Linked DNA regions of Schizosaccharomyces pombe. The gene in region 1 interacts genetically with each later gene. Each region holds a gene or a part of one and is shown in the gene's direction. Other genes may lie near its edges.

Region 1 (3,760 bases):
GCATAATTTCTTTCTTGAAGGCGATGAGAAGTAAAGGAATTAGGAATTAAACTCTTGTAGTTCCTAAGTTCAATAAATGATAAAAATAAATGTTATGCTCTTTTGATAATCGAATATTGGACAAACATTAATGTTTCTTGTAAGGCCAAATTTCCAAACATTCGAAACCAAATAAGAAAAAAACAAATTAAATAAAAAAAAACGGAATCAATGGTTTCAAACATATAGCAGTAGGATAATGGGAAGATAAACGAGTAGTGAAATGTACTTACCAAATCAAGCTCGCAAACATTATTAAAGCATCGATCTAATGCTTCAACAAATACCTTTAATAGTTAGAAATTGGAAAGTAACTAATTTCAACTTACTTGAATGAGATCGAGAATTCCTAGTTCACTTTCACCTTCATCTACTACAAAAACGAAGTAGAGAGTAGCGTACTGGCGATAAATTATTCTATTTTTACCTGCAATTAAATTACTTTCCAAAAAATTACAAGCGGTTGGGGGCCTAGTGGATACAGCTGCATATATATCTCCTATTAACTTTTGTTGAATGGATTCATCAATTGGAGTGTAAAACTTTGTGAGACGAGGTTTCCCTTTATTGTTAAATATAAAAACAGCGTAAATCATGACAATAGAAAGGGAAAGCTGGCAGAACCCAAATATGCAGTGCTTGGTAAACGGCAAGCTGAAGTTTAAGTTGAATATACGTTAATAGTAGTTTGGAAGAACCAGGATCGACAAATTTCTTTCAATGCCTTAGTTAATTTGCTATATTTAAGATTTTCATGGTTTTATATTTATTGAGTATATTATTTATCCACTATTGAACCAAAGATCTGTTACTGAAATTCATAATGTCTAGTAAACAATTTTTGCCATGCCTTCAATGATCTCTATAACGAACTACTTTGTATACAATTTAGGAATAGAAAAATAGGAAAAAACATTTGTCTTCCACCAATTTTTGAATTGATGGTTATGAAATATTCAAATAGCTACATAGTATGTGACATCTCAGTAATAAGTAGACACATACTAATAGTTATATGAGGTGATCCCACTATTCAGTTACTATAGGTATATATTGGTAGCTTTTTTTTGATTAATATACTAATTAAGTGAATATTTGCATAATATGATTAGCAATGAACGCTGCCTTGCTATATGGGAGGCACTTGTTTTAATCAACACTACTATAGATGATAGTAAAGCGAAATTCCAATTACGTACGATTAGACAGTACGTGCCTAAGTGTTTTTCTATGAAAATAGAACTAATCATTTCTTCATACAATGTAAGCTGATTTAAACGGAAGAATTTAAGTATTGCAAGTAAGTTGCTAGAATATTAGACAGCCTAAAACTTGATAAAGCGAATATTGACGAAGCTAAGGCTCGTGGACTACTGTTGCAATCACCACTTTACTGGTAACGAGATTAAATAGAATTTGATATCCCATTTTTTTAAACCGAAAACAAATTGTATTAACATATTCCATCTTGCTTAACACCTTCAAATAACTCCCTTTCTTCTCGTATTAAACATTTTTACGAAACGTGTTACAATAGTCGTACAGTTCCTACGACTACGATATTGGCATATAACAAATAGCGCTACCAGACAATCAATAAGTCATTAGCATGAAAAATAATTGCCACGTAACTAAACTCGCTACTTCTCATTAACCAACGTCTTCTAGTAGTTGTCGATGAGTTTGTATTGATGCCTCCTGTTTCAAAAAATACTCGCACTTCATCAAAGACTGTTAAGAAACCCTATGACCCACCTCAGGGGAGCTCAAGGCCCTTTTTTACGGTCTTGAAACGGGCATTTTCATCTGTTTTGCACCCATTCACCAGTGGTCTAGACGAGAAAGCTTCAGGAACGGCTAGCAAGGATAGAAAGAGTGGAAGAGCAGGTACAAAAAGCCTGCTTACTCCAGAGTTAACACCTCATTATTTAGGAAAATCTCCGTAAGTTGACATTTTTGTCGTGAAACATATTAACATTAAATAGAAGAATTATTCGCGTTAGTAATCGGAGCCATGTTAGAACAATTGATGGAATAGAGGAAAAAGTTCATACGAATACATTTGAACCTAGGAAGCCAAAGCAAAAGCAAGATTATACTAATTCCCCAACGCTTTTTAAACGCCATGACGAGTTGTCGTTAAAATCACTTAATTCGCTTCATCCTTCTTCTGCTTTATCCAAAAAGTTGGGCAGCACTTCTCAACATCAAATTGCAACTCCCAAATCCTCTGCTTCATTGCTCAATATCCTTCGGTCACTTCACGATGAGCAGAAAAATACCTTAAATATATCAAGTGTAAAACAAGATCGTATTACCGAAGCTAATCCTACTTGTGAGAAGCGCAAGCCTTCTAGAAGTCCCAGTCCTATGCTTTCCAAAAAGAAATCTGTTGCTCGTGCCTCTGAAAACGAGCCCTCAGCTAAGCAGAACAAAAGCTTTTCTGGAAATGATTCCCATAAGAGTCTTACCGACATTAGAGATAAGGAGAATGGCGAAACAGAGGTCTCAGCAAAAAATCACGTTCCTCACCGCTCCTCTCGGCGACGTCGTAGACACCAGCGGCTTATCCCTATCATTTATGAAACTCTTGAACAGATGGATTTAAGGAAGCCTGTATTAGTCAATGCAGAAGTTCAGACAGATTCCAACCCCGGTAATACAATGTTTATTGATAAGCAAGATATTTATCACCGGTTAAGTACACCCACTTCGCGTAAGCGTCAGACTCTCGAGAAAGGTCATATTAAGGCTTTTTCTGCAGTTGATGAGGATTTGGATGAAATCTTTGCTTGCGAAGATGACGTTCATTACACCGCATTACCCAAACAAAATCCAAAATCTGAGCGTATATTAGAACCTATAATAGCATCTCCCAAGGATAATACAAGTGACAAGGGTTTATTGACGAAGTCCGCCCCTACCTTTGAAGAGCTTCAAGCCTCTATTACCCCTAAGCCTGTAAAGACTTCTCCGAATGATACGGCACTTACTCTCGCGAACGCTGAGGATAATAAAACCTTTGAACATCAGCCATTGTCAAAGGATACAGAAGCGCCCAAAAGCCAATTTTCCTCATCGCCGACAAAAGAATCTACAACTAGAAAGTCCGAAGTTGAACCGCCATCACCTTCTAAGGAAATCAAATCTTCTCACTTTTCAGTACCCGAATTTAAGTTTGAACCGAAGACTGAAGCTACCACGGACAAAAAATTAAATGTACCCAAATTTGAGTTTAAGCCAACTGCTACTGCTGATGTGCAAACTAATCGTTTGAAGGAGAATGAGCCCAAGCCAACGTTCTTTGCACAATTACCGTCAAAGACTCAAGAGACGCCAAGTATAACTGAGAACAAGCCTTCATTTTTTTCTCAATTAAGTCCAAAACGAGAAGAAACAGAAAAGAAGGACAACGCTCCGTCTGCTCCTGCTTCAACTTCTGGTTTCAGCTTTGGAGGATTCGCACCTAAAACCCTTGAAGAGAAGGAAGAAACGAAAGCTCCTACGTTCAATTTCTCTTTAAACAATGCTTCTAGTACACAAGACACAACAAAACCTACGCTACAATTTAATTTTGGAAGTAGTTTTGGAAAGCCAACAAGCAATATTTTCAATGACAAAAAAACTTCTGAAAATGGTCTAGCTAGTTCTACTGTTGCTTCTGAGTCAAAACCGTCAGCTCCCGAATCAAAACCGTCCTCGGGTTTTGGAAATACCGCAG
Region 2 (3,276 bases), on another chromosome or scaffold:
TTTTGATTTTTGGAAGAGTCAATATCGTAGTGACATACTTATAAACAATCTGACAGAGACCTTATTTGAAAGCATTGTTCCAGATACTACGAATTCCCCTTTTTCCACAGAAGCTTTCCTTCAAGCCGTTGAAAATGGTCATTTAAATCACGAAATGTTTACTTCCTTTACGGATATTTTTTTCAAGTCATATCAGAATTTAGAATCGATTAATTCCTGGTTGAGGTTGATGGCGTCCCTTTACAAAGATTTAAGTGAACTAGTTCCAGTTGGAATTACAGCGGAAGGTCGAACGATTTTAGGCCTAAAATTGAACGGTCGACATCCTTCCGACAACGGGGAAAAGATTCGTAACAAGAAAGTGATTATTATTCAAGGAGGATCTCATGCTCGTGAGTGGATAGGTATTCCATCTGTTTGCTATGCCGCATGGCAATTGTTGGCAAAATATGATTCCGATGGTCATGTCCGAAAGCTTTTGGATAAATTTGAATGGATTTTTATTCCAGTTTTAAACGTTGATGGTTATGAATATACATGGTCAAACGATAGACTGGTAAGTGGTTTGTAATGAAGCATATACTAATTATTTGTCAGTGGTCAAAAAACAGACAGCCTCTTAATAATTCCGAGTGTTTTGGCATAAATCTCGATGCGAATTGGGCATTTGGCTTCAACGGTAATATTGATCCTTGCAGCAACGGTAAGCGAACTATTTTTTTTGATGACTTATTACAACTAACAAACTCAAGAATATGGAGGATTATCACCTTTTCAGGCTAACGAAACTATGGCCTTGTTCAATCTGATAACTGAATCCTTGTCGCAAGAGCAGAAAAAGGTCGTTGGATTTCTTGATGTGCATTCGTATTCACAATCTGGTATGTTTCGACAGTCTATTTTCATTTACTAATTAAGTTAGTTTTGTGGCCTTATGCATATACCTGCGACTTGTTTCCTCCTGATACTGAGAATTTTGAGGAATTAGCAATTGGCTTAGTTAAAGAGTTGCATCGCGTAAATAGTAGATACTACACATATCAACAAGCATGTATACCGTATGATGGATTTCATAAACATTACCTACCTGGAACTGCCATTGACTGGGTTTATTTTGCTGCTGATGTAGCATGGCCTTTCAATATTCGATTACGAGACATGGGTGATTATGTAAGTTGATATCTCTAAAATTTTTTACTAATTAAACAAGGGATATTTATTACCTGCTAAACAGATTGTCCCCACAGCTAAGGAATTTTTTGCGATGATTCTTTACTATGGAGAGTTTATCGCTGAGTATGCATTTTAGTCCAAGAAAGATCAATAATTATTCGCTTATCTGTTGGCAATTTTGCCAAATTTAATTATAGTAATTATTAATTTATGAAAATAAATACCTTCCTTCCAGGTGGTTCAATTGATGCGTTATTTACCTGTCTTAACAATAAATCCAGTTCTATCAATTAACGTTTTTTAGAACGTTATAAGAATTTAAGAGTGAATACTTACTAAAGTAGTGAATCATGATTACTTTGCAAGAGTAAATATTAAGATTTTTTGGTGTAATCGTATTTGCACTCCACCAACATAGTCTCAATAATAACAGTTGTGAATTGCATATTTTTTCAATATGACGACTGCACATGTATGCTCAATTTACATATATATCCTCTATTTTATAATTTAAAACTAACTCATGTTTAGAGACCCCAATTTGATCCAGCTAGGGGGCATTCAGAAATGGCCCCTACTAGGATAACGTCTAGTCGCGCATTACCAGCTCATTTAAAACTAAAATATAGACAAGAATCTCAAGGAACTGAGGAAGAGGTCAGAAAACAGGATTTACGAGAGGCATTGTTACGTGCAGAGGCTGCACATTTTGCAACTCAAGAACATGGTGCCTCTTCTGAAGAAGTAAGCCAGAATTCAAAACTCATAGAAGGTTTCACTTCCCCTTCAACGGACGATAAACCCAATAACGATGTTGAGGTTGATTATCAAGAGCTGTTACGGCAGACTTTGGAGGCGGACGAGGATGCTAGCGATAGCGACGACAGTGTGGATAGTTCAAATAAAAATTCTGAGGTATCAATTAAAAGAAGAAAAACAGAATCAAATTCTCAAGAATCCGTTGACTCATCAAATTCAGAAAGTTCGGACGAAGAGTCCGATTCAGAAGATGAGACACAACAGCTACTTCGAGAGTTGGAAAATATAAAACAAGAAAGAAAACGAGAGCAAATGCTTCAGGAAGAGAAAAACAGAGCACTGGAGCAAGAAAAAAGGGAACGGGAAATAGCTTTTGGAAATGAGCTTTTGAATAAAGCTTCTTCAGGGTCTTTTCAAGTTAAGCGTCGATGGGACGAAGACGTTGTTTTTAGGAATACACATAAAGGGGTTGATGACACACCTCGGCCTGGATTTGTTAATGATATGTTGAGAAGCGAGTTTCACAAGAAGTTCTTGGCAAGATTTGTTGATTAAATCACCTGTGGGTTTGCTGTCTTCTTTTCTTTCCACAAAACAAAATTTCTTCATTCTACTGCTATCATACAAGGCAATTTTTAAGAATGTTACTTATAAATGAGATGATAATGTTTAATTGATAACTTGCTTCTTTTTTTGTTTTAATACTGGCTGTACTGAGTTTAGTAGTTACAATTGTTGGTATATTAAGTTTACAAAATTTATAATTGCAAAGCCTTTATTTGAGTGATGCATATCTTATTTATTCTCTCACCAAATCTGCGTTAACGGAAGGGGTTACTGAAAAGTTTACTATAATTTAATGTAAATATTTTATCATTTTTAAAAAAGACAACTACTATAACTTTTTGTACGAAGGAAACATTTGAGAAATACTATATATATACTTTTGAAGTCGTTTGCTTTTACTTTTGAAATCACTAATTTATTTAACATAATGCAAGGATGGTTGCTCAATACCGAAATATAGTTTTACTACTGTACTGGCTAATCACCACTTGACTTTTACCAAGACATAAAGGCTTTCGTAAACAAAATGGCTTTGCGAGTTCCAAAGGCCTCTGGGCCTCAACTGTTTCGCGAAGGATATCGGATTATGCAGGGCGTAGAGGATGCAGTAATCCGTAATTGTAATGCTATTCGTGAACTTTCAGAAATCGTAAGGACCTATAATTTATTAAGCAAGTTTCATTCATTTACTGATACTTTTAGACCCGTACCTCTTTGGGTCCAAATGGAAAAAATAAAATTGGTATGTTGACTCAAACAGTTATTTCATTTCTTATT

What was found. A genetic interaction does not mean that the proteins touch.
Region 2: mutations in nup124 (region 1) and cwf15 together harm fitness more than expected from each alone (negative genetic interaction), as found in Schizosaccharomyces pombe (one large-scale study listed by BioGRID).

Annotation. Positions count from the first base shown.
Region 1 is NC_003424.3:1,110,484-1,114,243, forward strand, and holds the start of nup124 (nucleoporin Nup124), read left to right. Parts: upstream 1-1,691; 5' UTR 1,692-1,730; coding exon 1,731-1,981; intron 1,982-2,024; coding exon 2,025-3,760. Other genes in the region: AP-3 adaptor complex subunit Aps3, read right to left, coding at 273-326, 369-635. UniProt on the Schizosaccharomyces pombe protein: Nucleoporins may be involved in both binding and translocation of the proteins during nucleocytoplasmic transport. In S.pombe it is required for the nuclear localization of retrotransposon tf1.
Region 2 is NC_003423.3:1,040,328-1,043,603, reverse strand, and holds cwf15 (protein Cwf15), read left to right. Parts: upstream 1-1,574; 5' UTR 1,575-1,630; coding exon 1,631-1,645; exon of another isoform or gene 1,646-1,704; coding exon 1,705-2,487; 3' UTR 2,488-2,616; downstream 2,617-3,276. Other genes in the region: ecm14 (carboxypeptidase), read left to right, coding at 1-556, 598-703, 753-881, 923-1,170, 1,211-1,309; chaperonin-containing T-complex theta subunit Cct8, read left to right, coding at 3,026-3,148, 3,202-3,241. UniProt on the Schizosaccharomyces pombe protein: Involved in pre-mRNA splicing.